Linked DNA regions of Arabidopsis thaliana. The protein of the gene in region 1 interacts with the protein of each later gene in a pairwise test. Each region holds a gene or a part of one and is shown in the gene's direction. Other genes may lie near its edges. The genes, in order: BBX19 and AT2G30540.

Region 1 (16,909 bases):
TGGAGTAAACAACTACACTTCATGTATAATCTAGGAAGAATAACAAATGCATATATTTTTGTACTGTAAGGAATATTTTGGTGATTGCTCAAAGATTTATATTTCTTTACTGTGAGACCAACTATCGTTGTTTTCTTCAATAACACATGTACACATAATGAGTTTTCCTCTTTTTTTTGGGTCAAAATATTATGAGTTTTCATAACATTAATAACAATTTTTACGGGTAAAAAGAAAAGAATTTGATGGAAAAGAAAAATTCAATTACAACATTGTCTGTTTTGAAAAATCAAAAGACAGAGGAAATGAAATGACACCAAGAAGATATACAAGACATGGCTTCTGCTACAAGAAACCCAAAAGTAAAATGTCATTGGACCAAACAGAAGTTAGAAAAGTGCAGGCATGCTTTTTCTCCAACTATGCGATCTCCGAGTTGTCAAGAACGAAGGAGGTGTGAAGGTCAGACCAAACATCTCCTTCATGGCTCTGCCTTGCTCAGCGAACCTCACAAGCTTCGCTACAACATCTGCGCTTTCCATAACCTGAGTCATGTCCTTGGGATTGCTCCAGAGCTCATTCACAAGTTGTAACCGCCTGCGTTTGGAGTTAATCGCAATCCCAAACTTGTGGTAGATTCTTTTCCTCTCTTCTCCTGAAAACCTTTTCCCCACAAGCTTGCTCAGCATCTTTCTCTCCCTGTGAAGCTCTTTCCGGCTTCACCACAAAAAAAAAAATAGTAGGCATTAAAAAAAACTGCAACCACTAATGCCAAACGCTATATACACACGCCAAAAAGATCTAACCTTGAGGCCAATGTTAAGGTTTCTCCTCCTTCCAATGCTTGGTTTCCCTGAGAGAAGCTATCTTTCATAAACAAAAGTCTTCTTAGCTCTACTCCGATGTAGATTGAATCCGCCTCATCTCCTTTGAAGAGCAAGTAAAAGTATGTTCTATGCACCAAAGAGATGTTACAAGTTTGCCATAGCTCCAGAATCTCTTGCCGCTGTCTCTCAAATTCTCTGTCCATGGAGTCCAGACCAATGTCCCTCCTCATTTTACCAGAATCCTCAGCATTTGAGACCTGATCAAACAAACCTTGAAAATCAATTGTAAGCTACATAGAAGAATCGATTAGTATATATGTTTATGAACTTACCTCGCCTTGACGCTTAGCCATCTCTTTAAGCCCTTCAACGAAAGTCCGGATACTAGTAATACCACCCTCTTCTCCCAACGGCGTTCTGATGCTCTGAGTCCCTGTGGAATCGCTCCCGCAAGAAGACATAGAATCATTCCTCGATACAGTAGAACCGAACTCTAAATCAGGAAACGCAATCTTGTGACTCTCTGGTCTTCCGAGGAAACCTGTCCCTATGTTTTCAGGCGGAGTGCTCGGGCCTGACACAGTCTCTCTGCGGTTCCAACTTCTCACCCTGACGTTCTGGCTTACACTCGTTTCACCATTAGCATCCTCACCACAGCCTAAAACGTTTTCAGGTTCTGCTCTCTTGTCTTTCTTGTTATTATAGACTGTGACTGATTCCTCAGTCTCAATGCATTGAACTTCTCTGCAATATTCTTCTGATAGATCTTCCGAACGCCTAGGCAAGTCTTCATCCAGATCATCATCGTCAGAGTGAGAATGAACATAAGCTCTTGATATTGACAGCGGTGTAGACATTCCATCTGATATAAAACTCCTTCTGTCTGAATCGACCACGCCTGATGTCTCCGATACTGAACCATCCTCCCACTTGTCTGTGTGGTTGCCGAAATGTGGAGTTCCAGGCTTCCATTGAGGAAAAACAGAAGCAAACCTTTTAGTAAAATTGCCATAGAAATCTAAGGCAGAACCGTGATAATTGGGAAAACGTGATGAACAATTCAATTATCTGCTGCACAAAGTGAGATTGTGGGAAGAACCAGCAATACCTTTGACGCCACATTGTGTTCAATCATTCTCATGAAATCTTCAAGCCGGGATTGAGCAAGATCCCTCTGTTTTCTCAACTCTGCGATCTCCTTTTCCATCTGTATAACATTAACTCTTCATCAGCATTAACCCGCCACACAGTTACAAAACCAGCCAATGTCATATGGAAGCAATTTGGGCGTGTTCACAAAGCACAAACCTTTTGTATCTGAAGATCTTTCTTCCTCACCGTCATTGCACAATCACAGTTTGAGGCAGGTGAGGAGGCAGGGTTTCTCAGCTCAGTCTCGAGCCTCGCAAGCTCACGCTGTAGTTGCTTTAGCAGAGCCTTGTCTGACATAACAACATTGATCCGCGCCTTTGTGGTGACTTCCTTTGCACAACACGCAAACAAGAGAGTGTTCTTCGTTAGCTCTACATGACTCCTTGCTGGGCTCAGAGTGCAGATGATAGCTGTTCTTGCATTACCCCCCAAGCATGGCTGTAGAATTCGTGTGAGCTTCGAGTCTCTAAAGTTGATGTGCCCTTGTCTTCCCTTACTAGGTCAAGTGTAGAAAGGCGTGGTTCTATTATTAAAGTTGAACTACTAAGCATGCCAAAGACAGCAATCTTTAAAGGATGTATTGTTTACACACCTAAGTTTACGGATCACTGTTCCAAGAGTCAGCAAACTTCTATTGATATGGCAGCCTTCCTTGAGTCTTGTACCAGCTGACATAGCTTGTGAAGCACGCTCGCTTCCTGCTAGATCGATGAAATTCTGCACATAAAGGGTGATCAACATGAAGACATATTGTTTTTGTTTTTTTTTTTTAAAAAAAAAAAAAAACTCTCAAGATATAACATAAAGAAGGGTTGTTTTAGCTTTGCAGATGAGAGCATACCACACTCGCCATGAGGGTGGTGGAGTTTTCTTTGCCTAAGAACTCACGAGCAGAGCTTTCAACTGTCTAATAAGTAACGAGACAATCAAGGGCCAAGCTAAGTGAGAGAGAATTTGTATCATAAATAAACTGATAGATAAGAATCTAACCAGTCTGATCATTTGATGAGATCTGGAACTTCTCTCATTCAATGAGGTTTCACCTATCTTACGCTGTGCTGCGAAAATGTAGAAGCATGTAAGTTTACTTTTCAGAAAACATGTTCTGGAGAAAATACAGAGTTTCAGATCATGTACACAACAACACTACTTTCATTGGCTACTTCATAGTAATGGAAAGTGATTTTGACTTTTGAGTTTTACCTTCACAAATAGATAGAAGTTCCTTCAGATGGTTCCAGTCTCGCAGAGTTTCCTCTGTGGCTTTTTCAACAACTGTCCCTTTCTAATAAGAAAAAACGATAGAACTAAGGAGAGTCAGACAATTTTACAAACTAAAAAACACTCAGTAAGGAAAATGATATTCATTTACCTCAGGATCGTCTCGTAGCCTCAGTGATGTACCATCCGAGCTAAGCAGATCTCGTATGGCCTCATTGTAGATCTCTATAGCTGAAAACTTCACGGAAAACGCCCTTTCTTCATGCTGCAGCATCCAGATCCAATTAGTAGTGCATAAGAAGAATAAATACCAGCATTAACTTTGGAAAAAAATTACTTATGCAACGAGGCCTGTACCTGAAATATATAGTCAAATATATCAGCCACAGCAAACTCAGTAATACCAGTCATGGTGTATGTCTTTCCACTACTCGTCTGGCCATATGCGAAAATACTACCTGTCCATCGTTACAGTCATAGAAGAACTAAGCATATAGTTTCATCAATGTGTGCATCAGCAAAACAACGGGAAATCAAGCTTACAATTGATTCCTTTGACAACAGACAGAGCGATTTCCTTGGTTCCATCCTCGTAAACTTGTCTGGTGGGACATTCACCTCGGTAGACTTTATCTGTCACCAAAAAAAATCAAACATAAAATGGGAATCTGAGTCAGCATACGGATGAATGGTGAGATCGTTTCAAAAAGAAAGTAGAAATTTAGAAAAGCAAAGGTCAAAGCCAGATAGAGTTAAGTTCATAAAAGAGGTTAACTATTAGTTTGAAGTTCAAGTAAGAGAGTGTGGATCTAATGTATAGAAGAGGTTTAACCGTTAGAGCACTATTGCTCTTCTTACCAAATGAATATGCAGAAGGAAAGTTCGAGCCTTCGCGCAATGTGTTTCTGTACAATATGGTGGTATCATTGATACATTCCCAATCCGCAGCTTCATTAGCGGCAATCTCTTTCTGGTTTAGAGGCCTCAATCTCACGAGAACCAGTATCTTCTCTTCTCGGGCTACAGGCATCTGTGTCTTCTCCATCTTCTTTAGCAAGTGCTACCAATTGCTCACCATTGGTTTGAATATTTCAGAGTAACCAGAGGAACCTTTGTTTTCCTGAAACAGTTCAAACTTAAGACCTCTAAGATTGGAGTCTTAGCATATTTACTGCAGAAAATATATTCAGGACTTGTGAAAGAACTTCAAAAGCAGGAAGGACCCTTATTTTCCAACTAATCACAACCATAAATAAATGGAAAAACTCAGAAATCTGATCTCACCAAACTAAAACTAAGAGACTAAAACATGAAACATGCCTGGAGAAGGAAAAGCTTCTGTGTTGTGATGAAAGAGAACACTTGAACATTTTATATGAACCACAAAGACACAAATAAGAGAAGACTTCTTGTCATTATAATATTAGGATTATACAAGACAGTTTACTTAGAAGGTGATCAACCACAACTGAAGAAGAAGAAGAAGAAGAAAAACAAAACAAAGATTACCGACTTTATCTGTAATGGTCACCCACTATGCTTGAGGACTAAGTCACGTTTTACCAAATCTAAACATTGTTTAATCGAATAAGAGAGGTAATGCATGGTCCCACAGACCATGCTTCTCCTTATAAAATGCATATACATCTAGTGTAGAGAACAAAAAAATAAGTTATCATACTCTAAACTTTGAAAAGTAACTTGGATTATAATATATGTACACGCAAAATCAAACATAAAAATAATAGCTTTGTAGTTTTTGAATTCATCAATGGAGAGGGAGACAAGGTCAGTCACAAATGCGTGTTTAAAGGTTAAAAAAAGTAACTTGGAGTTTACTTAGTCAAAACTCAATGAAACCTTATCAATTGCACCAACAGAACATTTAATCATTATCACAAAATGCATCTCAATCTTGAACCAGAATACTAAGATTTTGCGTCTATAAAGTGCGTGTCTTGTCTACATCTCTAACAAGCAAGATAAAGAAACATGCAAAGGAGCTGTTTTTACCTTGTGAGTGAGTTGTCTTCTTCTTCCTCCTCTAAAGGGAATAATGCGGTTCCAGAAAGAATCCTCTTGTGTCTCACTCTTCGCACTCCGAAGCTCTAAACTGCAAGCAAACATCCACTACAGAATTCAGCAATGACAACACAGATTCGAAATTTTGCAATTGTTTTGTACTTCTCCATTAGTGACTTTATCAATGAATGACACAAACCCAAACAACAAAACCAGATTTTGAAAAAGTAACTATTATCTTTTGGGGCACATGAAAAAGGAAAGTAGTCAGAAGTAGTAATCCAAGATGTCACGGTTGAGAGAAACAACAATGTGAAGTTTTCTTCTGAAAGGGAACCCTAAAGAGTGCCGGAATTGGAAACACAACAGTGCTCACCGGAAAACCAAAAGAAAACAAAACGGAAAGATTTGTAAAAGAAAAAGAGAGAGAAATGACAATGTTAATCCCACCCACTTCCTCCTGCTACTGCCTACAAGTTTGGTAGTTGTTTGTTCTTCGTCGTAGTCGTCGTCGTCTTCTTCTTCTTAACTTTTGTCTGAAGGGACCACTCCATTGATTTGGTCCCAAAGATTCTCTCTTTTCTTCTATTCGCCGGTTTCTCAGACTCTCTCTCTCTCGGCTTGGGTAGTTAATGACCGGTTTACCCCTGAAACTTAATTAGGAACCTTAAACCCGCCACGTGGACCTCACACTCCACTTCATCGTAGCCCATTAGTGAGAGACCTTTTCTCCCGGCCCAGAAGGTCATAATGATATTTTGATAACAAATATAATGGATATCTAGCCCAACATTACAAGTAAAGCCCAACATTTAGCAATGATGCACATGGCAGGCAAACTCTCTTCTTTGGATGCTCTGTTTTTTATAAAAACCATAATCTATATTTTCAACAGAAGAGAACATTGTAATTATGCAAATATTGATTCTCGTGTTTATGAATAGGGTGCGTCAAAACTTTTCTTTCAAATTTTACAAATGCCAAAGTGTCATAAAACAAGCTACAAAAGAATGTTTATGGAGGAGAGAAAGAATAAACTTTGGGATGAAAAGAAAAAAAAACTAAGATAATTGTGAAGATGTTAGTTAAATGAAATTGAGAAGATGGGCAAGGAAATAAAAACAACATTAAACCAAGGCCACTAGTAGAGTTTTGAGAGTTGCTTTCAACTACTTCTCGACCACCAATTTTTTAAATGGCTGGTGACATTTGGCCCACCCACCTCTTTGTCTTTTTTTTTAATTCCTTTTGTGGCTCTTATTTTTTCCCCCTTTTTTATTTATTTTAGTTTATATTTTTACTTTTAAAAATAGTCACACGTCCTAAATCTTAGCACATTATGTTGCCTAAAACTATTTCAGCTGCCGTCAAAAAAAGGAAGAAAAAAAATCAGATATAGGATCCAAGAAATCATATAAAGATTGTGACAAAAAAAACTTTTTCACCAAAACAAAGGAAACAAGACAACGAATGTGTTTCAGGGAGACACATCAATGACCTCCCAGATGGCATTGAGTCTTTCGTCTTCACTTTTTAGTCGATATCATTTTTCTTTTTGTCTGATAATGGTCTCTGATATAATGGACTTTAAACAATCTTATAACTCAAAACCATATCCACTATAAAAGATTTGGTCTTCCCAATATTTTCTCCTAAATCATACTACACACATTTCTTGTTAGGTACTACTTTAATCATAATTTTCGTTAGTCAAAACACACAATTAAAGAAAAAAAGTAATTGATTGGAGAAATTTACTCAAAGTAGTAATTAACAGATTTTGCCTTGTCACAGCAAAGTATGCTTATTTGATACTCTCGGCGCGTGGATTTGGTCGTCGTCTCTTCTGGTCTCTCAAGCTTCTCCTCCATCGTAGAAAAAGATTTTAAAGGAGCGATTTTTATAATCTTAAATAATTTCTTCCCTTTCTTCTTCTTCTTCTAGTTCCTTGATACCAACGCGTAATCCTAACCCTTAATCTACTTCCTCCTTAATTAATCAGAGGTTTCTACTTATTATTTCCACTTCTCATCTCTTTCAATCGCAATCTGAGTTCTGGCTAAAGATTTTGTCTTGAAGGTGAGATTCATTGTTCCGAATAGAGTGAGAAAAAGACTTATAAGATTGAAAAAGCAAGATGCGGATTTTGTGCGATGCTTGCGAGAACGCAGCCGCAATCATCTTTTGCGCCGCCGATGAAGCTGCCCTTTGTCGCCCCTGCGATGAAAAAGTAACTTCTCTCCCAAAAAAGCTTCCTTTTTTTCTTTAACTCTCCTCTCTATCTATTGGTTGTGCTCTGATGGGTTCGTCAAAGATCAAGTCTTTGTTATCTCTGTCTGGGAATTCTCAGTTGATTTGGACCTGAGTTGATCTGGCTTTTCGATAACTTTGAGCTAAAGAAATAAGATTTTTGAGATTTGGTTTCTAGATTCTTAGGCTCTTCACATGAGATTAGATATTTCGAAGTGTAGTGAATCCGTCAAAAGAGTTCAAATAGTTGAAACCTCTTCTCTCATTTGGTGGATTAAGATGGTTCAGTTGATGAATTTACATGTTTGATTACATGAGTGTTTGTTGCTGCGGTTTCAATGATTCTACTCTGTCATGTACATTGCAGGGAACGTTTTGTCTCCAGAGTTTGCATTTAGTAGTATTAACTTCTGGAGAAGAAAATAATCGATTTTCTGCTCTTTGCGCTTAATCCTTACTTCAGTTAGATGACTCTTAAGGGTAACACTTTATAGTCCTTCTCGAGTCATTGGTTCATCCTTCTCTACTGCAATAGCTCTTAGTAGTTTTCGGATTTTGATCGGAAATGGATTACTTCAAAGCTTTGTAATGTTTTCTTCTTTCAGGTTCATATGTGCAACAAGCTAGCTAGTCGGCATGTACGTGTTGGTTTAGCTGAACCAAGCAATGCCCCATGCTGTGATATATGCGAAAATGCACCTGGTATGATCTCTTTACAATGAACTTCCCACACTCGTGTTTAATGTTTTCGCATATGTACATATATTGAAAAATGAAGAGAAATCTTTTGTCTGCAATGTTTTTTGTTGTGAGAACAGCCTTCTTTTACTGTGAGATAGACGGTAGTTCTCTTTGTCTGCAATGTGACATGGTAGTACATGTTGGTGGCAAGAGAACACACGGTCGGTTTCTTTTGCTGAGACAGAGAATCGAGGTTTGAATTAACTAATTGTTTCTTTCTCACGCAGACACACAATCATTTTGAGTCGATTTCTTAGTTTTAATAGTCATCTTGTGTTTATCGTTTCTTGTAGTTTCCAGGGGATAAGCCTAAAGAAAACAATACGAGGGACAATTTGCAGAACCAAAGAGTCTCTACAAATGGAAATGGTGAAGCCAATGGGAAGATTGATGACGAAATGATTGATCTAAATGCTAATCCACAAAGAGTACATGAGCCATCATCAAATAACAACGTATATGAATCCCTCTATCCAACATATTCTCAATCTTTGTTTTTGTATTCTCAATTCGAATGTTTCTCAATGAGCAGGGGATTGATGTAAATAACGAGAACAATCACGAGCCTGCAGGCCTTGTACCAGTTGGACCCTTTAAACGAGAGTCTGAGAAGTGATAAGGTGAGAGAGAGAGAGAGAAAGAGACTCTTTACTCTGATTCAAAAAATCAGTTTAAGAAGAAGATTGTAAAAAGTTTCAAGAACTGGAGATTTCATGTCCGTTTTTTTTCCTTCCTTCTGATTCTTAGATCGTTGCTGGTGTAACCGAGCTTTGTTGTTGAAGAGGGAAGGTTTATGTTGTTTGTGCATTATCTTAGTTTTAAGGAATTAGCTTAAGTGCTCACATGAATGTAAGCTAATCTCTGAAATTCTAAATAATTTTATTTGTTTCTGTTTTTTTTTCTTAATAAAATCCTCTGGGAAATGGACGAAAAAGAAAGAAGACGAAAAATTGGGCCAATTAAAAGATTAAGCCCACTTAATATGCAAAGGCCCCATGAGGCTAAGCGTTGTCCTTTGAGAATTGTAAGCTTCGTGGAGACCATTTCCTCCTGTATCCTCTTTGTTCAAAATTTAAAATTGGTTGATTATGGAATAGTTGTAGTTTCAAGTTTAAATAGATCAAGAGAGATAGATAACTTCAATATAATAGAACTTATTAAAAGGAGTAGCTAACGCAAAGTAAGCAGAGAAAATAATGATTTGACATGATTAATAACAAGCAAACTCAAAAACAAATGTGATTAAAACATCTGCTTCATCTCTTTTTTCACAGCATCATCTCTTCAATAGGTGTACCCTTTGACGAACATGCCCTCCTTAGCCTCTTCGGACTCACCCTCACCGGTGTATTTTCCGAGCTGAGCCAACGAATTGGCCTTGGCACGGGCCAAGAGAGTGGTCTGAGCTGCGTTCACGTTCTCGGGTCTGCCGCCCCATGTTTTCAGACAAGTGTTCTGCAACGCACGTGCGTAGGAGAAGGACACGTGCCATGGGTTTGGTGCCTGGTTCATTGCGTTCAAGTTGAGTGTTGCCTCCACCTCCGACTGTCCTCCGGACAAAAACTGCAAATAACAAAAAAAACAAGAAACAATGTTACTTCTACCTCAAGCAACCAATATTAGGCTTTGCCTCATAAAACACCTTTTCGTTGTATTGAATCGAACAATCTTTTAATTGTGAAGAGAATGAGAGAAACTTGCCATGATTCCGGGGACTGCGGGAGGGACTCTGTTGCGGAGGAGCTTGAGGGTGTAGGCGGCAACTTGTTCAGGAGTAGCTCTGTCTTTAGACTCAGCTCCGGGAGTCACCATGCTCGGTTTTAGGAGGATACCTGTGGGTAAAAGTTTCCTTAGTGATTTTTCAGACATTATAAGTTGTATTAAGAGAAGCACTTTATAACGAATATACCTTCAAACATGACATTGTTCTGAGCAAGGTAAAAGAAAACCTCAGCCCAAACCTTCTCTGCTACGTCGTATGTTCTGTCAATGTCGTGTTCTCCATCCAACAAGATCTCTGGCTCAACAATCGGAACCAAACCGCTGTCCTGGAAAATAAAGTCGTGTGTGAATAGCTTGATACACTCCGATTTGACATGTTTCTTGGGATACACGCTATGTTTGTTACCTGTGAAATGGCAGCGTATCGAGCAAGACCCCAAGCAGCTTCTTTGACGGCGAGGGCAGACGGACCGTTAGGAATGCTCACGACAGTACGCCTAATCAACCATCAGAGACAATAAATCACTATGAAATCGAACCTAGGCATATTTTTTGGTAGTAGGAAATGAAATGAGAACCGAGAGTACTAGTCTGTACCATTTGGCGAAACGCGCACCCTGTTGATAGTAAGCAGCAGTTCGAGATGATAGACCATCTAGTCCTTGGCACCATGACTCATTGTTGGATCCAACAAGTGGCACCAAACCCTAATATTCCATACACATAACTCATTAAGATTCCTCAAATTAAGCACCATGCATGTTGGTATATATACTCTACAGTCTATGCGTTTAGTTACCTTGTCGACTTTGATACCAGGGACAATGTTCTGCTCGACGAGGACGTCGACCATTTTCTTGCCTTCGGTGGTAGACTGGTACAGAGTCTCCTCAAATAGAATTGCGCCGGAGACGTACTGTCCGAGTCCCGGTGCAGAGACCAGCAAAGTCCGGAAAGCTTGACGATTTGCCTCAGTGTTCTCTAGCCCTATCGAATCCAAACGTTTCCCGCAAGTCGCGTTTGACTCGTCCATCGCCAAGATTCCACGTCCGGGAGACGCAATAGTTTTCTACTCCACCAAAATTAAGAGAATCAAATGGAATTGCATTATAAATCAATCATATAGTATTACCAAAATCTAGATCAAAAGTTCAAAACTGAAACAAAACATCTGAAGGGTAAATTCGGTTTAAATAGATTCTGAAAAAAAAAAGTAGAAACAGGGCAAAACAGAACAACAGAATCTAGACATTCCCATTCAAAAGGCACTTTACGAATCATGCAGATAAAACACGTGGTAGAGAAGAGAGGATATGTGTGAAGAAACTAACCGCTGTCTTAACAAGCTCATCGGCGTAGGAGGAAGCGGCACGGACGGTGAGGGAGGTGGCACGGTTGCGGAGGACGACAGAAGCGGAAGAAGGCTGACGGAAGAGAACGCTTTGTCCCTTGACCCATTCGGATTTGTCCAACACCGGAGAAGCCTTGAGGAGTGAGGTTGATGCCATTTTTTTTTGTGTGTGTTATCTCTTTTCTCTGCCTTTGGTTTCTTTGAGAGACTCACAGTAAACGCTTATGACACCACCCTTATCTCTCACTCCTCCCTCTTTTGGATTTATATTTCTCTTCAGATCAGTTATTTGAGGTTCTTGTGACCTTGCCAATAATATTCCGCCACCTGGACCGTAATCTTGTATTACTCTCAATTCAAGAAATATACATACACTCCAATTTTTATCTTTTTTTTTTTCTCCGAATAGGAAATCGATACTCTTTTTATGCCCGTCGTTACATAATAATCGTTTGCCTTTACACGGATAAAAATCGAATAAAATCGAATAAGTACAGAAATAGTTAAGATTCGTTCAAGATACTGTTTCTTTAAGAAAAAACAAATTATAACGTTAGGCTACAATATTAAAAGCATATTAGCATGTAGAAAAGATGTATAAAACCATCAAGAGTTAATATGTAGCACCGTGGACCATAATATTAATTAGTTTATAAGTTTTTTTCTTGAATTGCAAACGTCTTGTATATCACTAATTTACTATACATATTGTCATAATGTTGAACTCCAGGACAGAAAACATAAGACAAACGCATCATTTTCAATTAAAAATAGTGGCAACAGGCTTATAAAGATACAAAGATGGTGTTTTGATAAGAGAAAGAAAAATTATGAGGTTCGTATCATTTCTAATTTTTAATTTTTAAGAGCTGCCGAGATTATTGATCAGATTAGCTAATGTCTAAATTTGACGGTAGAGAGTTTACCACGTCAACTACACAAGAGGACCTTTGGATCCGGAAAGAGGTTTCGTTAGTCTGGGTCTCAAGTTTCTCAACCATAGACTTATATGCTAATCCAGTGAACCCATGATTATGAAAACCTATTAAAATTTTCCTTTTTAGAATTTAGAGCCAAAGATGCGTCTGAAAGTTACACTCAAAGAGAAAGATTTTGTGAGGACGTAGTTCCCTGCGTTTTCTTAAGGCTGAGGTTAAGTACTGGGATTTTTAAGAGATTGTGAAGTCTACATCATCAGTCGAGAGACACTGCAATCTCATCGTCATCATTGCACAACAGGTGGCCAAGTGGATGTGTAGGCACCAAATTGACCCAGTAAACCTTTCGGTCTGGTCTAGTAGCAGATTTTGAAATCTCAAACCCGGTTTGTGTCGGTTAAGGAGTAGTAAAGCAAAAGAGAGTTTGTGATGTCAAAATAAAACACATACACATAGTTCACTTAAAAGTTTCTGCAAGAGACAGATCCGATATTCCAGATATCAGATCATCGATATTGCTCTTCTCTGATACAACTTGATCATCATTCAGTGGCTGTGGAAGGGGCTGGACAGTGGAAGACTCATCGAGGGCCTTCTTCAGCTGCAGCACCAACCCATCTTCCTCATCATTGTCCCCCACAACCTCTAGATCCCACACTTTGAAAATCTCTTGTGAAGTTACTTTGACAGGATCCTCTGTAACATTACAATCCTCAGCATTGTCTTCAACGTATGTGCTCATGAAATCATCCTTGAATACTTGAGACGATACTGACGCTGGTTTTTCTTCTTTAGCCTCTCCATTGCTCACTGACCCATCTTCTTCTATACTTTCAACACCTCCAAGATCTGTCTTAGAACCGTCCGCTGGTTCACGGTTTCCATTCTCTGCTATAGACTCTGGAAAATAATAATCTTCTAAGCAATTCTTTGACGGGTCTGATTCAAAAGTTAGCATAGAGATAATCTCGCTAACTTCTTCATTCGATGAATTAGTTCTACTGTTCGCTGAACCAGCTGCTGGTTCAGATCTCCGTAGATCAATAGTCTCGGATTCAGTCATAACCTCGTCTGGAGACAGGACACCTCTTGTTCCCGTTGTTGATGAAAAAACAAACATCTCGGGATGGATATCGATGATTTCTGTTAAAGCATCTCTAAAAGTTCCCCAATTATTGTTGTCTGAATCATCTAGAAAACTGATGATGCAAGAATCAGCCCAAGCTACACATTCAGGAGAAAGATCTTCCTCGTTTCTCACTGAAAGAGAAACCTCTGCTGCGTCTTCTCGTTCAGCCATGGCTACAACAAAGCAGAGATTTGAAGTTATGATAGATGTTAGAGAACTCAGGGATAACATATACAAGACATCCCGGGATGGATAAAAATACCAGATTGATACTAAATACACTAATTTCAATCACTAATTATAACAAAACTAGGGTTACATGGATGTGAATTGGATTTAGAAGCATCAACAACAAAAGTGAAATACCTTCGAATGCACAAGAATCACAGAATAAACATATATAACGAATCGAATCAAAGAGTATAAACGTCAAATACGTAAGCAGGAAAACGAAAATTCTTCTGAGCACACCTAAATCCATGACTAAGTCCAATGGATTACTGGGTACTTCAATTCAATTAACCAATTAAGGAAATGACTAACCTTTATCCACACGAGAATCCCCCAAAAAACCCTAATTTTCAGAAGAAGAAGAAAAACTAATTTTGAAATCTCTGAGAAACTGAAGAGTAAACGACGTTAAATTGTTTGGAATTTTGGATAAACTTGTACGATGCCGTTTTTGTGGTGACTTGTTTTTTGTTTTGTTTTGTTATTAATAGCCCAAATATTTTTAGATTTACAGAAAAGCCTCATACTTTTTATTGGCCCAATGTGATCCCAAATTGTGTGACAGTAGACATTAATGTATTTGTCCTTCTGCATTTTATTTCATCAACACACAGTCAAAATTCAACATATGGTTGGTCTTAAAGAAAGCTTAAACATCGACAAAAGTTGCATTATACCCCAATTTGTTTAAAATAAAAAGAGTCTTATTATATATCCGTTAATACTTTTTTTAGTTTTTCTTTCATTATATGAATCAAGTGATACAAAAATACTCACTTTTAGATTCTGTTCGTTTTGCACAAAAAAAAAAAGATTCTGTTCGTTGTTTAATACAACTTACTTTCTTCTGTCAAATCTTAAAAGGCAGAATCGTCTCAAACCGGGTTGGCCTTAAAATAAGCCAAGAGACCAACAAAAGGTGCATTGATGTAGGTCGTCGGCTCAGTCTCACTTGCATTTGTCCGACCTCCAACGAATTTGTCATCTATGTTTGGTCCTCCGATCACTGCACCTACTAAAACGTTGGGGTCTGGATTTGGTGACGAGAAACTGTTCCATCCTTCTGAGCATTTGACCGGGGTAGGATGAGTAGTGATAGACGGTGAGGATGCACCGCGGTGATGGATTTGTCGTGGATATCGGTTACCGTACCCGATCATGTATGACATTTTCATCGGATTATCTCCCAAAATGTAATCCACCTATATGAAATCATTATTACCATATAACCGATCAAGTTAGTTAAGTAGTAGACCACTAATTTGTAAAATGATAACTCATGAACTTTCTCAAAACCAACTATATTTGCTATGCGTTGTGTTAAATACCTGTCGTTTGGCCAAGCGACGGAGAGAATCCGGCTGGAACTTGAGACTACCACAGTGGAGTTGTTGAGAGGATTTGGAGAGGTTGTTGAGAGGATTTGGAGAGGTAATTGGCGTAAGTGAGAAGGAGAAAAGACAATGCGACGGTGTTTTGGAGCTGGCTGCTTCCGGGTTTGTAAAGAAGACCACCGGGAGAGTAACTCATATGTGCACCAGGAGTTTCCAGAAAAAACGAACACATCAATTTTTCCGCTGTATCCTTATACGGTGCAATCGCAGCAACATTCTTCTCAAATACTTCCTATATCAACAACAAGCAGCTCAAACGGTTTAGAATTAAACGAGTTTGTTCTCGACCGGTATACCAGAATATATACATTTTTCTATTTAAGAAGAATAATATATGCATGGTCAAGTTATACTACTTGTATGTTCAGTATAAAATGAGTTACGATCATGAGTTTTATTGTATTATGAATATAATTTCGTCATTTTAAAAATCAAAGAGAATTGGATCAAACCTTGGCAACGAGGACATTGACGCCCCCAACTTTGTTATCCCATCCAAACTCGAAGTAATTGGAATCTGACCCAAAAGATTGACGATTCTCCACTAAGTATTTAATGTAAGAATCTTTACCGGTCGCTCTTCTCAGCCATGCAGCTCCCCATAATAATTCATCCTATATGAAACAACATGATTATTTATATGGAACTAAAAACATTAATCTAGACCGATATCTAATTTTACATAAGATATTCAAGAAATCATAGAGAGATTACCTCATATCCGTTTACACTACAATAAAATGGGCAGACAGCTAGTTTAGTCTCAGGATTATTGGTGTAAGAACCTCGATGTGAATCTGCGTACTCAAAAGTTCTTAAAGCATTATCGAGCAATAGTTTAGAATATCTAGGATCAAATCGTTTGAATGCGATTGAGGCGGCTGCCAACGCAGCTGCGATTTCTCCAGCTAAATCAGAGGCTGGTTTCGGTGCTTCCAGTGCGTAAGCGGTCCGTGGTGTGTCCATGTCCTCTGGTCTCTCCCAACACTGATGATCCGGTGTTGGTTCACCTACCTAAATATCATTATTTAAGATTATAAATCAAATTCTCAATATATATGCATCAGTTTAACTCTTATGAATATTATAGCCTCGTTAAATAAATTAGTTAATTACTAACAAGTAAAAACAAACAAAAAATAAGTAACAATATTGAGATGAAAAAAAAAAACAAGATAATAATTGTTTGTGATATGAACAAATACATTACGAATCTAAGATCTGAAGTAAAATTTGTGAGAACTAGATGTATGTGTAAAAGACACACAAATACAATCGTTGTTAACTATCCTAAGCTATACATACATGTATAATAAAAGACAAGAGCTTATTGACGTATAGTCACCGTACTTGGACGAAGATGCGATTAGGGAGTTGGGAAACGGTCTTGAGGAGATAATTGCTGCCCCACCGGAGAGCGACGAGATTGTCCCGGAGATCAGCCGGAGACATGTAACTTCCGAAGTCGATAGCGCTCCACGCAAGCATCGTAGTCGTAAAAGCCATCGGAAAATGGAATTTAATGTTGTCTCCGGCGTCGTAGTAACCACCAACGAGGTCGACATTGAGGTTCTTGCCATCGTTGAGTGCGGAGTTGTGGCGCCACGTCATCCTCTGTTCTCTTGGGAGATATCCAGATCGTTGACCTTCGAAGAAGAGGATTGACTTTGTGAGAGCATCGGAGTAGTCGTGAGAAATCGTCGTTGGTAGGAGGATGAGGAGGATAACTATAAACGAGCAAACCAATGGCTTCATTGTTTTCTCTTTTAGGGTTTATGAGAGATGACTAAATAAGACGATGCATATATATAAACTTTTATTCGATTTTTTTCTATGGAAACTTTCCCGCATGTTTTAACTCCTTGTATATTTTTATATCTAAACTTTCCTCACCATGATTTATCACAATCAAGAACTTTTTGTTCTCTGTT
Region 2 (15,636 bases), on another chromosome or scaffold:
TAATCTTACATTTACATTTCAATCACTGATTATTACACAAGTTTTAGAGTCTCTTGATGAATACACATATAGTTAACATGGGGTAAGACAATAAAGCAAATTATCATTTATTCATTCATTACATAATATATTTGGTAGTAAACCATCTTCACTCCATTCTCCATAGATGATCAATAAAGACCAAACTCACTTTTTACCATGGAGATTATCAAAGTAACCTTTAGTATCACTCTCAAACTTATCTCTTGAAATGGTAGAAGATCCGTTGCTCCCCGGCGCTACCATGTAGCCACCTCCTCCACTACCGCCACCACTCTTCCCTCCTTTCCCTCCTCCTCCTCCTCCACAACCACCACCATTTTTCCCTCCTCCACCACCACCACCACTTTTCCCTCCACCACAACCACTTTTCCCTCCTGCTCCACCGCCGCTTATTCCTCCTCCTCCACCACCACCTTTCCCTCCTCCACCGCTACCACCTTTTCCTTCCATTCTTTGAAATCTTAGAAGTTCTTAGTGACTCTTTAAGAAAACTTAAGTTTTGTTTAAAAGTGAGAGGTGAGAGGACGGATATTTATAATAGAGTAAATTTTCAAGTAGATGGTTGATGAGGTCAATAAGGTCGAAGAGGCGGGAAGACCTGCTCGTTTCACGAATTAGTCATATTATTTTATGCAATTTCGTTTATTTAATTGTTGTTGAATGTTAGGGAAGCTTTATCAAGTTCTGCAGTTGTTTATTTGGAGTGGCCAGAGTTCTTTCTAACCGAACAAAAAAAAACAATTACAGAAAAAACTAACTTAGTCATGAAACTTTTTTTTGTTATGTATTGTTTCCTCCTACTATGTATTTCTATTTAATGAAAACTCTTTAACAAAATAAACATTGATGAGGTCGAAGTAGCGGGAAGACATGTTCGTTTCAATAAACCAAACCTTAACCTCCAATTAGAATTGACTATGTCTCACCGTGGCCAAAACATTGACTCATGTAATCATGTGTGAACACGAATCAGTAGTGGTACGAATCTAGTTTCTTGTAATTTGAAAGTAAAGATTAATACTATTTAATTCCAGTGTGGTATCCCAATTATCTTTATCTTGTCATGACAATGAGATGATGTGATTATTAAATATCATGACATGTTCATCAAAACTAAACAAATGAAATGGATTAACTTGAGAGCCCAAAAATGCCAGTGAGAACCAAATTGCTACTAAATAAGTCGTACCAACTTAATGTTCAAATCACTGAATTGTACACTTCTTGCATGATATAGACCCATATTGGAACTCTTTTATAGTACCATATATTCAAAAGAGAGTAAGACGAGGTATAGCAAAATCTCATTTTATTTATTCATTAGATACTAGATTTGGTAATAATAACCATCTCCATGGCATAGCTATTCATTACAGATCAAATTCACTTCACTTGTTACCCTGTCCACTACCATGCAAATTATCAAAGTAACCTTTAGGATCACTCTCAAAGTTATCTCTTGAAATGTAAGAAGATCTATTGCTCCCTGGTGCTACCATGTAGCCACCTCCGCCCCCACCACCACCGCTTTTCCCTCCTCCACCGCAACCACCTTTCGCTCCTCCACCGCCGCCGCCGCCTCTTCCTCCTCCACTGCCACCACCACCACCACCTTTTCCTCCTCCACCGCTACCGCTACCGCCTTTTCCTCCCATTCTTTGAAATAGTAGTTCTTAGTTTCACTCTTTAGAAATTTTTAAGATTTTGTGTGAATGAGAAACGAAAGTGAAAAGGATGGGGTATATATAATAGGTGAAAATTTCAAATGCAAGATCAAAACCAATCTTTCCCAATGAAAATACTTAATTTAGTCGTTGCATTTGATTAACCCAAGTAACCAACCCAATCGCCTCGTAAACGTAATAAGTTTTATTAATAGGGAACGTACGTTGACCAAAGCATGCAAGTGAGATGATTGTGACATTTTATTTTCAAAAGATGGATGCGTCATTTACAAATTAGGGAAAATGTGTATATTATATATATGTGCGTGTGATTAACAAGGATGATCAAGACGGAGCTGAGAGAGATGGTGGTGGATATCAGGAGAATGATGATCCTCAAAACGGAGACGCTCGGCTTGAATCCAACGACCTTCACTGTTCCGAACCATTCCTTTATTCGCGTCTTGACGCCAAAACGGTGGAATTTGTAAATGCTCTTTCAAAAAGTCCGACGCTTTGTTCACTAGCGCATGGTCTCTCCCACTCGACAGCACAAATCTCTCTCCTTTTCCATGATACCTAAAAATTTCAAAAAAATATAAAGCAACGTCAATAGTGTTTGATTAGTTGCATCATATGACTAAATCGACATTAATTTCACGTGTTATTCGGTTCAATCATATCGCAAAAACAAATTAGACGTGATCTCACTAGTTTGATCTTCTTGAATATTTTAATGTGGTCGAAGAAATCATTTGGACACCTAGTCCAATCTATTTATCCCACGGCTTCAAAATTTTGTCGTTTTCCAGTTCCACATAAAAATAACATATCAATAAGACTTTGATTTGGGTCATCTTATACCATCCCTGTCCTGTTTTTTTTTTTTTCTCCCATCATCCCAATAAATATGTAATTAAGTATATACTATTCCTTTTGTATAAATGGTTGTATATACTATTGTTTTTGGCTAATCATATTTTTTTTTTTCCAACTATGCAAAATTTTCCAATGTTATAAATTTTTGTGATCTTCAATCACGGCAACACCAATTTTTTTTTATGAACATGAATATATAAACAATGAAAAGTAAAATAAAAAGGAAACGTACCCGTCAAGTAAATGAAGCATAGCTTCAAGATTATGAGCAGTAGAAACATCAACGGAAGGTTTAAGAAACGGCGAGTTCTGATGATCCAACGCCAGCTCCTCCCCCACGTGGCTATAACACCACGGCAACCCCTCCGCTATCTTCATCAGCGCGTGAGGTCTACTCTCGTTCAAAAACAATCCCGGCGACTTGGGAACCACGTCGTGAACATTCACTACTCTCATCACTTTCACTCCCAATTCCTCCATCCTCTCCCTAAACCTAACGTTCCCAACTCTCGGTCCTCCGTATGTCAACACCGTCACCGGAATCACTTTCCCTTTCTTACTCCGATTCAATCTCATCTCCGCTATATCGTACGCGCTTAATATCGCTAACGCGCCGCCGAGACTGTGTCCCGTCACGGTGATGCTTAAATCGGAATCATCGTCGTCGCCGTGTTCTTCCACTAACCGTTTCACCTCCGTTAAAATCTGTTCACGCGCTGAGAATCTCGCGAATTTGCAGGTTGTGTCTTTGTCAGTGTAGAGATCTAAGAATCCGGATTCGACTTTAACGGCCGGGTCGGGGCATCGGATCTTGTTTTCGGTTACCGGTTTTAAATAATCCTTTAGATCCGCGATCCATTCAAGTTTCGTAACGGTTCCTCTCCACGCAATCGCGATATCACGGCGGCCGAGTCGGTTACGAGACGTTTCGTCGTCTGAAACGGCGACGTATCCCATCCAATTAGCGTTTTTGCTCCAGACTTTAGACCACCGCGATTTCGAGAAGAAGTTCGGGAGATTGATGTTCGACGTCGCGTAGAGGTAACGCGCCACCTCGTAACCGGAATCGATCATTCCGAGAGAATCGAAGAACTCGAGTCGCGTGAACCTGGAGGTGCCGCAGTATTTGGAAGCGGGATCGAAATCGAAAGCGTCGTAACAAGCTTGAGCCATTTCGCCGTAACGGATTAGCTCCGATCTAAGAATTGGATCCATTGGATCCATTAACCCGGCCCAATCGTCTTCTCCTTGGATCTTACGCCACGTGTCTCTTAGTCTTCTTTCTTCTTCGGTTTTTTTATCTCGCCGGCGAATATCTTCCGCCGTCATCCATAGTTCTCCAGCTCCTTCCGCTTCCTCGATTAATAAACCTTGTCTTTCCCGCCTTTCTCGCTCGAGGCGAGAAATCACGGCGGATAAAGACGACTCGTCGGTTCTGGACAAAGCTCTCGTAGCTACTCGGAATTTGGCGGGAAAATTGATTTCTGAGAAATTGGTATTTAGGGAAGAAGAACCGGTTATGGAGTTTTTGTGGTTGATGGTAAGAAGGTTGTTGTGGGAAGGAATAGCCGCCATTGTTGAGAAGCTTCAAAAGCTTGATTTCGTAATTGGTTGACGAAGAAGCCTTTATAACACATAAAAATAGCTTAACGTGTACTTCAAGACACAAATGGTAATAAGGTAATAAATAAATTGTCATCGATTTCATACACACTTGATAGTATTTATTTTATTTGATAAGTTATAAATTATATTTATTTAGTTTTGAGTGTGTTTGGTAGTGATTGCACAATGCTTAAAGGCAATAAGCAGGCTCTAGGGATTGAGGTTAAGGATCTAATGATCTATCACGGTGATAAAAAAAAAGTAGTAGTATACACTAATTTAAGATTTTGCTTTTCAACATTAATGTACATTTTATTTTAAAATTGTAAGATCTACAAAAGTTTATAATGAAATTGTTTTTTGAGTTATGAGTCTAGATCTAAAGCAAAAACTAAGTCGTCTTTTATGTTTCTGTTTTAGTTAAGAGGATTTTTGTTTTTCATATTGAGTTAATTAGTAAAAATATCATAACATTGCTTAATTTTCACTTCAAATAACAAAGCGACGACTTTTACATTGTTATAGTATATTAAGTTTCAGAAAACTATTTATAAGATTAACTCTTATATCACCGGTAAGTGACAAGAGAATTGAATTACTCAACTTGCCGTCAAAAGGAAAAAAGAATGACTCAACTCATATAATATAAGAGTATGCTTTGGCCTTCGTGTGGAAAAGTCATGGACCAATGGCATCATGGCAACACATAACATCAGTTTTCAAGTAATATTTTCGTATACTATATTACAAATGTACAATATATATATCAAAAGTCTAATGTGAATTTGCTGTCAAAGAATACGAACTCTAATGTGAATCCATATCTAGATGCTTCTTAATAATTGAATTATAAGATTGTTGAAATATTAAAGACGTTTTTAATGGTCTTTATAAATGACCTAAAACTGCATATGAATAATTGACCCCCGACCATATATTTACAACAAAACGACAGCTCAATCTCGTCACATTATGTAATGAGAATGAGGTGTCCTTCTCTCGTCACTAGCTTACTTACTTTATGTTTCATCATTAAATATTTGGACATGTGATTTAATGAATTAATTAGTTATAAAATATAATAGAGAAAAAAATAGCGTTGGAGAACATTCAAGTCAACTTGTATTTGTTTGGTGGTTTCATCTGAAAATCCAAAATAACTCAATTTGTATTTCATTTATTTAATTGTGATATCTTACTAATTTTTGCAATCTGGTACAGATCAGAATGAATGGATCCATACTGTTTAAAATATATATATATAGATGTTTTTAGTAAGAATGATTGAATGTTATATATATAGAATCGAGTTCACGCTTTTGTGGAGATTTTCTATGGTGACATCCTAACTCACACGTATTTTATATTCTTTTCTGATTCGAAGAAGTTTTCTATGCCATTAAATATAGTTCCAAAATCAACCCATTTGCTTTTGTTAGAAATAATTTTTGCGTTATGACTTATTAAACATATATGAGATTTCTATAAGTCATTGGTATGTCACTTAGCTAGGAGGTTGCACGTTCAATTTTCTTCTCAGTTTGGTCATAGTCGTCGAGACAATGCATACCCGGCCCATTTCTTTAGACCATATCCGAAAATGAACCCTCTAAATATTCAAATTCTTGTATATTCTTAAAGCTAAACAACTCACTTCTGAAAACTGCTTAAAAGATTATTAGCTTTTGAAACATAAATATATAAATTTATCGGAGAGAAAGAGTAACTATGAATCTATGATCATGCATGGCTTATAAGGGAGTTTGTAGTAGCCATTATCGCCAGCCTGCCATTATCTTTTATGGCCACTTCTTCAAGGTTTCATCGTGTGAGTGACCATATAACCTCACTTAGCTACTAACCCTTTTTCAATCATTAATTATAATCCCTAGAAAGCTTTTTACCAAACCAAAACAAATATTTCTATATAGGGCAAGTCTCCGATCTTACGGGAAGCACTTTTTGGTGGTAATGGAAGAGGGGGTTAACATAGATATTCAGATGGTCATATATATAATTAATATAAGAATCAAGAAGATCAATTCCAAATATATGCTGAGTTTGTAACTATGTTAAGTTTCATGGATTTCTAACTCTAATCCTTATCTTTCGAGGTGATGATTGTCTTGGTCCAACTCAAATTGTTCTCATTCTATGAAGGACAACATATCTTACTTGGACCAAATAAGTTCCTTAATCTTTAAACAAAATCAATTGGCGTTAGTAAATTAATTCATGTCCTATACATATTACTCTAGGTCTAAGCTTACTTCAACTGACATGGGATCTCATAATCACTGGTTTACTTTAGTCAAGTGGTAAATGGGAAAGAATCTTGGCAAATTGTTGAAAGGGAAGTGGCACACAAGAGAAAGTAAGAAACCGATAGGAGTTATTATTCCTTCATGATCAGAAGTGAGATTGAGAGAATCTCACAAAGACAATCATATCTTGTTGTATAGTGACATGTTTCAAGAATAGGGTTTTTAATTGTTGACACACACACGATCCAATCCATCAAACCCAGCCTGATCTCTTTTTCGTGGCTGCGAAAAATACCGTCAATCAAGAGAAGAATAAGCATATCTCTCTGCTTATTCCCCACCACTTTGGGCTATCTCACACCCACACCCTTCATCTGAGCATGATTCTTGAACAAAATAATATTCTTCGAGAGAAAAAGTAAAAGCTTGGTCCACATAAATTGTAAGATTCTAATCCGATCATGCATAAAAAAGTTGCAAATACATATATAAAACATGTGCGGATGTACCATATTCTTTAGCATCTGCAACAAAGAAACATATTGTCCTGTTCAACTCAAAATGCTCACTTTGGTATCTAGGAGGAAAAAAGGGTAGGTGAATTGTGATTATGCAACTTTTGTTGGTCCTTCCTTACTAATATAATATGAATTAAAGAGGAAAACAAAATATTAACAAAGTCACTTTAATGTACTTGGGGAACCTTTAGCTAGATCTCCTGTGATCTCTCTTTTTTTGGTCTCTAACATTCTTTTCTTCTTTCTTTCTTTGCTTATAAATAGCATATGGTTCAAGAAACTCAAGTCTCAGGCAACACTGAGCTTAATACTGTAGTACACACACACACACACACACACACACACACAAAACCCTCTTTTCTTCAAACAGGAACCCCAAAAGCGAGGTTTAATCTCAGGCGTTTTCAGTTCTAAATCTCTTTCAATCCACAAGAGAAGGAAGATTTTGTTTCTTCTTCTCCAAGAAACAATCCCTAGATTGATCGAGACCTCCTTCAAGAAACCATGGACAAAGTTGTGAGAATGTCGTCAGAGAAAGGAGTGGTTATTTTCAGCAAGAGCTCGTGTTGCATGTCCTATGCGGTCCAAGTACTTTTCCAAGACCTTGGGGTTCACCCAACAGTCCATGAGATCGATAAAGACCCTGAATGTCGTGAGATCGAGAAAGCCCTAATGAGGTTAGGGTGTTCCACGCCGGTCCCAGCCATCTTTGTGGGTGGGAAGCTCATTGGTTCGACCAATGAAGTCATGTCGCTTCACTTAAGCGGCTCGCTGGTTCCGCTAGTTAAGCCGTTTCAAGCCAATCTATGTTAAAAAGGTGTTCTAATTTTCTATACTACAAAAATGTATTTCAATAAGAAACACAAATCTTATAGCCTATGCAACCTTTGTAATGTAGCTTTATATATATATTGTTTGTTCTGTAATTTCAGGTAATATCCAATAATAATTGACTAATTTCTACTCACCAGTTCAACTTTTAGCTTTCATGGTACTGTTTCAGGGAAATAATAGAACATTCTTCTTTTATTTAAGTTAATTAAGGGTAATAAATAACATTCACTGCTAATTCTTAAGACCCCACCCCAAATAAAGAGTACAGAGTATATATATTTCTACAAATACAGAGCAATTACAGGCAACGATTTGTCTTCTTGTCTGATTCACAACAAGAACAGCAGAAACTGATAGTTGTTGTGGTGTTTCATTTGAGCTCCAAGAAACTTGGATTTGGATTGTAAGAGTTATCTGATGAAGAAGACATTGAAGACACATTAATGGGATATACCTCCGTTACTTCTTCAGTCTTCTCATCAAAGTAGACCACATCTTGCATTGTTAGCTGGTGATATTCGACGACTCCTCTCAGATAGAGGTTTTCGCGGGTGTATATCGAGTTTTCATGAGCCAACCGTGCTTTCTCAGCTAACAGTGTTTCCAGTTGAAGTCGCACCTATAGATGAGAGAAAACACACAACCAAAGATCAGAAATGTACATAAAGAAATGTTAACATTAATGGCTTTGTAAAGAGTAAAATACCAGATCATCGTCATCTGTCTGACTGTCGCCACTACGGTTCTCCCTCAGAACCTTATTTTCTTCTTCCAGCTGTGCGCATCGTTGCTTCGCAAAAGCCAGATCAGACTTTACCATCTTCAGCTCCCGAAGTAAAAGCTTTGCCTTGGCAGCCATGGCCATTGCAACCTGTTGAGATTAATTCAAAGGAGGCTCAGTATCAATACTAAAAACGATTATTCTATAATCATTCACTGAAGAGATAACAGCAGCGGAAATAAGCAGATATAAATTTGCTGCTGTGAACCAATAAATGATACAGAGCAGCCACCTTACGTCGCGAGATGCCTTTAGTTGAATCTCCAAATCAGCTTGTATCTCAGGATTCTGCTGGTTCCTTGTAAGACTTGGCTTTTTTTTAATCTTTTTACGGGTTTCTTGAATGATGCCTGCAGTACGATTCTCCACAGCTGTAATACCCTCCTAAGAATAATCACAGACAAACAACAATCTCAACCCAACAAACTCTCATTTAGTACAGTGCAGAAGATGCACCGATACACACAAGAATGCATATGCCTCTGTATACACAACTAATGTGAGAACTCGCATAACCTAAAGAAAAAAACAAAACTAATATATGTCTCCTATAGTGTGCCATATACGGGTGCATAAAGAGTAAGAAACTAACCTCAACAACAGTACCAATGGTGCCACCAATGTAATTCAACGATGAAGTGATCGCATCTAATCTTCTCTGTAATGAAGGATTCTCGCTTTTCCTACCAGTCTGACCAGCTTCCTGAAACATGGAAATGGATTTCTACTCCATAAGAACGCAACCCCACAAAACAATTGGAAGAGCAAATGCAACTATAAAAACCTAGTCTTTAACCTTAGTTCCTGAAGTTGTCGCAGAAGGTATGCTCTGCTCCATTCTCTTAGGACTTTGAGGCAACTGATTAGGATCATCCTCATCCAAAAAAGCCTTAGCTTTACTAGCTAAACTTCCCCAAAAGCCTCGTTTTGGTTCATTCAAACTCTTCATAGAAGTATACTCATAAGCCTTATTCACCTCCTATTCAAACGATTCAATTGAGGCAAAAACAGAGTAAACCCATGAATCATTTGGAACATTTCAATTGAAGCAAAAACAGAGTAAACCCATGAATCATTATGAACAATTAAGCGACACCAGAAAGAGAGAAGAACAAAAGATGAAACCTTGGGAGGAGTGGGAACAGGAGCAGAAGAAGGAGACGAGTAAGCAGAAGAAAGAGAAGAGTCTCTATGCGCAGAAGATGCTCGAATTGCCTTGGCAGCGAGAGAGGACGCAGCAGATGATGAAGCCGAAGATGGAGACGGAGACGACGAAGATGAATAAGACATTCTCGTCGTCGGCGTCATCATCCTTTCCTTATCTTTCTCCGTCTCCATTTCGAGATCCTCGAATCTGAAATCCTCGATTTCGTCGACTTTGTTCATCAACTTCTGACGCTCATGCTCAATCACAGTCTCCAAATTTGGTGGGTCGATTTAGGGTTTTCCCAAAAGAGAATCCTTTTGGAATTGAATGGATCTCTCTCTGTTTCGCAAATGATGCCAAATTTTCAATTTTGGTGTCGTCAACGCTAGACAGGTGCTATCTCAAGATTCCGGTTATTGATTGAATCCTTGGTTTTCTACAAATGTGTTAAACCGGGTTTCTCCTACTATGAGATTTCATTATACCATTCAAACATGACCTCATAAAGATCTACATTCTAGTAGGGGATGTGGGCTATGTGGTGGTGGAATATTCCGGTTTGCTTGATAGATTTGGGTTTTGTTATGATCTACATTCTCACTAGTTAGTAGGGGATGTGGGCTATGGCCTATGGTGGTGGAAGAATATTCCTGTTTGATTGATAGGTTTGGTTTTGATATTTTGTAGACTTGGCGGTTTGGTTCGGTTTGTAGACCAGACGGTTTGGTCATGTTGTCTGGCATACAAATTAATGGTTTAGCTGTCAAATACAAAAAACATGATTTTATCCACAATGAATCTAGTAACAATCTACAACAACAACAAAAAGAATCTAGTACTAAAATTGGGGTCAAAATCTATTGTTAAAACTTAATCCTCTTATTTGAAACTTCATCTTATCTTAATCCTCTTATTGCTCTTTTAGTTGAAACAACTCTCCCACTTTTGGAATTTATAAATAAATTTTGCAAGCTTCACATGGAGTATAGTGTGATAACCATATAAAGTCACATGCGGCTAGACTTGAGAGTCGACACATATGTTTATGTGCAATGTATTGGTTGGGCTTCTTAATTATGAAACAAATGGGCTTTGCAATAACAAGTTAAGTTTCTCGATCAAGCTAAGCAATATCTCAGCTCGTGTGTTGATTGTTTCTTTTCTTGGTCAATTCCATCAAGCTATATTTCTTCTAGTCACGGTTTCGTACCGTTGCCTCTATCCGAATCCATGCAACCTCCCCAACCATATATAACAGATAAGAGATTTGCACAAATGACAGCGAAATGTGCTAAACTCGTCTGGCGTTTCCTAAGAAGACGACATTATTGTGTGAATTGGAAGAAGCGTGATTAGGGAAACTTGACGTGGACTTTTTGGGCTATTGACAAATAATAACCAACTTTGGCCCAAACTGTTCGTATTAATTTGTGGTTCATTTTGTTTTCTAGTTGCATCTTTTCTTAGCCTTTGTCCCCTCGGTTTAGCCGCTGTGAGGTCGGGACCGTTGTTAATTATTGTAACACCGCATAATTACATAATAATATAAACTCGCAAAATAAAAAAAAACCTATGAGCAACTATATACATTTATTTGCAATATGAGTTTTTAGTAAAAAAAATTACTTATATATATTAGGTAAAAAATTTTGAGTTTTTTTTGCATTTTACTAAATGTATATCATGGATATGATCTGACTAGAATTAGCTCCAATGCCTTTTTTGAATTCAGGTGTGTAGAAATTGCATATCCTTAATCAGAAAATAGCATTTTGGTTCTACTTACCGAATCAAACCAAAATAAACCACAATCCTATATGTCAATCCTCTGGATGTAATTAACCATTATGATCGAAATTGTTGATTGAAACTAGACGGCAATACAGCTCAGGGTATTTGTACTTTTGTTAATAGATTGATAGCACCATCCTCTTATGGTCCAACCTATTTCCTAACATGAATTTTTCATCTGAATAATTTAGACTTGTATTAAGACCTTGCCTTAGCACCTTTTTACAAAATTTAATTATTATTCTCTCTGAATTAATGAAATTTATATGTATATCGCCTACTCATGATCTAGTGGACATCTACTGTTTAGCTAATTCAATATTTTACATTCGGATATTGTGTTTTGATGCAAAACCAATTACAAAAAAGAAATCTAGGGTTTGGAAGTTTTTGCATTAAGATTTAAACAAAAAGTTAAACACCTCACAAAATTTATCACGATACTAAAATAATTTTCTTATCAAATCACATGTTACTATGTCAGCCGGAGAAAAAAGACTCACATGACATATTATCACATCGATTCACAGAAACTTACATCAAAATAGAAAAATCACGAAAACTGGTAAGGGTTTTTAACTTTTTATGAAGACCCATTTTGTGAATCTTCACATTCAAACTACAAATAGTCTTATAAAACTAGTCGCACCGGCAGAAAATTATTAGGGCAACTAGGCAATGTAAGAGACGTGAGATATCTTTAAAGACGATAGGAACACGTGTATAAACATGATTGGAAGACAAAACTGAAACTGGATTCTGATGGATGATTTGACGACGTAGCTAAGCCAAACACCACGAGGTTCTAAGATGAAGCACGACCACATATTTGGGGTGGGCCTTATCTATGACATGTTCCTACTTCCCTAACTTCCATGGTCCTACTTCTCTCTAATCGTACATCCACTTTTAATTTCGTTTCTTATCTGTCAATTATTCACATGCGTTGCTTTTTTTTCTATATTCATAGCATTGTCTTCCTTTAATTCAGAATTTTTAGGCTTTTAGCATGTGAAACTTTAATTTTGCTATCATATTCTCATTAACCAAACCAAAAAGTAAGATTGTTTTTTTCTTTTTGAATGAGCCACTCTACAAATTGTTGCCAACAACCAAATATATGAATGATGATTGGTTCTCACTAATCATTATACTTTATAAAATTTTCTAATCATCACCATATGCATGTTATGAAATCAAGAATTTAGATCCGTTCTGTACTTCTGGTCTGTCACACACTCACACTTTGTCCCGGCTTCTATGTCCTTGTACGATGAGATTGCTTACACATAGCAGCTTTATGATAAGAAAGATTTTCATGTTCGTCATATTACTATAATCATTGTTATCCTGCATGTTTTTTGTAGTCTTTTAACCTTGAATATCACTGTAACATTTACTAAAATAATAGTTGATAATTTGAATGTAGTTAGCCAAATATCAATTAGTAAACGTTCACTTTTCTTTTAATTTTAATTTTAATGATAAATAAATACATTTACTAAATAAAAGCGTAGTAAAGCATGTTACTTACAGAGATATGTTTATTAATGTTATCTACAAATCACCAAGATCGAGATCTCTGTTAGTCTATTATCAAAAAGTTGGTGAAACATATATCGGTATATATGTGGAAGGTCTAAATTACATAAAATAGCCGTCGATACAAGTACATATCCAAATAGGGAAAAGTTAAAAGGAAATGGTGAAAAGGAAAGTAAACGACGAAGACAAACACAAGGATTAGAGTGAGTTAACTAAAAGAGATAATAAACACATCAGAAAACGACAAATAAAAACTTAGAAAAATAAGATAGAAGAAGCCAATCACAAATATTATTACATTAGCAATTGGGTGGATTGGGGGGACCCATGCTAAAGAAATTTCAATATATAGACACTCTCCAATTATGCTTCCATCTCCTTCAATAGAGAACCAAAAAAAATGGCAACAGAAGGAAAAAACCCCATCAACATGAACTCTATGTCTTCAAGTCTTGCAAGAACCGGTCAATGGTACGAATCAGTCTAGTTTCACCAATAGAGTCTCCCGGCGCGAATCATCAGAAATTTTAACATGTATATATGTAACTTTGTAGGGTTTTTTCTCAAGATATTCCGACCGATGTTGTTGTTGAAGTCGGAGAAGCCAATTTCTCTCTTCATAAGGTAAGCAACAACTCTTAATTCTTGGTTCACAACATTTTTCAATACAAAAAAGGATTATTTATTTTTCATATACTCATGAACTAGGCTTGAATAGAGTAATAATAGGATGGCGAGATTAGTACAAACCATTAGCTTACATGTTTTTAATTACACAAAATTTTAACTATAATTTTTCATGATTGTATATATATAGTTCATGTTAGTGGCTAAGAGTAACTACATAAGGAAGCTAATAATGGAATCCAAAGATAGCGACGTGACAAGAATCAATCTCTCGGATATACCCGGAGGTCCTGAGATATTTGAGAAAGCTGCCAAGTTCTGTTACGGTGTTAACTTCGAGATCACCGTTCAGAACGTGGCGGCTCTTCATTGCGCAGCCGAGTTTCTTCAGATGACCGATAAGTACTGCGACAACAACCTTGCTGGTCGGACACAAGACTTCCTTTCTCAAGTAGCTCTCTCTAGCCTCTCTGGAGCTATCGTTGTCCTCAAGTCTTGCGAGATTCTCCTTCCTATTTCTCGTGATCTTGGTATTGTCCGCCGTTGTGTCGACGTCGTCGGTGCTAAGGTATTATTTTACTCAGAACTCATTCTCACTTCTTTGTAAGTGTTGGATCTCCATTTTGGCTAGTGTTTATGTTTTTCTTTTCTACCTATGTAGTAGTAACTGCAATAACCCAATCTAGTAAGTTAGTACAGTTTTAGGTATGTTTTTCAATAAATGGCAAGAATATCTGGTTTAGTTATTCCATAGGTTTCAAATACAGTAATAGTTTGAAATTGATTTTAAAATTTCATCTATCAATTTTCCTAAGAAAAATCAGTTTGAGACCATTGTTCTTCACTTCTTTTGTTCTAGTGTTTATTATTAAAAACAAAAATCTATTTTAATATTAAAGTTTAGATCTATGATTACTGTTGTCAGACTATGATTGCGATTTAGATTCGATAGGAATATTTCATATTTAATTCGGTTTGGTTTCCGAATCTTAAATTGAGCAAATCATACTTCTACCCTATTCCAGTTCCGTGAGACTCAAGTATAATATCTATGTAATGCAAAATGAATTACGAGTTTAATATTTTAACATCCATGAATTTTTGTAATGCTTGGTTACAGTATCTGATACGTTTTTTATATCTATTTCTTTTGATATTTGAAAGGCTTGCAACGAGGCAATGTTTCCATGTCGAACACCACCAAATTGGTGGACAGAGGAACTCTGTATCTTAGACGTCGACTTCTTCTCCGATGTCGTATCTTCAATGAAGCAGAGAGGTGTCAAACCTTCTTCCTTAGCCTCTGCAATCATCACCTACACAGAGAAATCCTTAAGAGATCTCGTCAGAGACCATTCAGGCAGAGGAGTCAAATATTCCGATCCCGGAGATAACGAATCCGACGAAAGATCCCAACAGAGAGATCTTGTTCAATCTATCGTCTCTCTTTTACCTTCAGACAAAGGGCTGTTCCCAGTCAATTTCCTCTGTTCTCTCCTCCGTTGCGCGGTCTTCTTAGACACTTCCTTGACCTGCAAGAACGAGCTCGAGAAGCGAATCTCAGTCGTTCTAGAACACGTCTCCGTCGACGATCTTTTGATCCCGTCTTTCACCTACGACGGCGAACGGTTACTAGATCTCGATAGTGTCAGAAGAATCATCTCTGCTTTCGTGGAAAAAGAGAAAAACGTTGGTGTTTTCAACGGTGGAGACTTCAACAGAGGAGTCTGCTCTGTTTCACTACAAAGAGTAGCTAAAACAGTTGATTCTTACTTAGCGGAGATCGCTACTTACGGAGACCTAACAATCTCCAAATTCAACGCGATTGCGAATCTTGTCCCGAAATCCGCTAGAAAATCAGACGACGATCTCTACAGAGCTATAGACATCTTCTTGAAAGCTCATCCGAATCTAGACGAGATCGAAAGGGAAAAAGTGT

What was found.
Region 2: the proteins of BBX19 (region 1) and AT2G30540 interact in a two-hybrid assay, tested with the Arabidopsis thaliana proteins (one large-scale study listed by BioGRID).

The regions. Positions count from the first base shown.
Region 1 is NC_003075.7:18,154,217-18,171,125, forward strand, and holds BBX19 (B-box type zinc finger family protein), read left to right. Parts: upstream 1-6,871; 5' UTR 6,872-7,359; coding exon 7,360-7,452; intron 7,453-7,658; coding exon 7,659-7,754; intron 7,755-7,839; coding exon 7,840-7,872; exon of another isoform or gene 7,873-7,952; intron 7,953-8,077; coding exon 8,078-8,174; intron 8,175-8,290; coding exon 8,291-8,406; intron 8,407-8,506; coding exon 8,507-8,668; coding exon of another isoform or gene 8,669-8,745; coding exon 8,746-8,829; 3' UTR 8,830-9,105; downstream 9,106-16,909. Other genes in the region: AT4G38950 (ATP binding microtubule motor family protein), read right to left, coding at 390-717, 807-1,084, 1,160-1,792, 1,936-2,034, 2,136-2,475, 2,572-2,696, 2,821-2,886, 2,970-3,037 and 5 more; FBA2 (fructose-bisphosphate aldolase 2), read right to left, coding at 9,498-9,776, 9,915-10,045, 10,123-10,261, 10,342-10,432, 10,533-10,642, 10,735-11,004, 11,267-11,443; AT4G38980 (uncharacterized protein), read right to left, coding at 12,682-13,524; GH9B16 (glycosyl hydrolase 9B16), read right to left, coding at 14,460-14,786, 14,870-14,912, 14,963-15,210, 15,431-15,592, 15,693-15,992, 16,329-16,733.
Region 2 is NC_003071.7:13,003,408-13,019,043, reverse strand, and holds AT2G30540 (Thioredoxin superfamily protein), read left to right. Parts: upstream 1-7,000; 5' UTR 7,001-7,476; coding exon 7,477-7,785; 3' UTR 7,786-7,939; downstream 7,940-15,636. Other genes in the region: AT2G30560 (glycine-rich protein), read right to left, coding at 187-479, 1,475-1,697; AT2G30550 (alpha/beta-Hydrolases superfamily protein), read right to left, coding at 2,039-2,285, 2,818-4,160; AT2G30530 (zinc finger CCCH domain protein), read right to left, coding at 8,177-8,425, 8,513-8,677, 8,825-8,971, 9,180-9,290, 9,384-9,566, 9,713-9,973; RPT2 (Phototropic-responsive NPH3 family protein), read left to right, coding at 13,471-13,541, 13,625-13,694, 13,888-14,265, 14,862-15,636. UniProt on the Arabidopsis thaliana protein: May only reduce GSH-thiol disulfides, but not protein disulfides.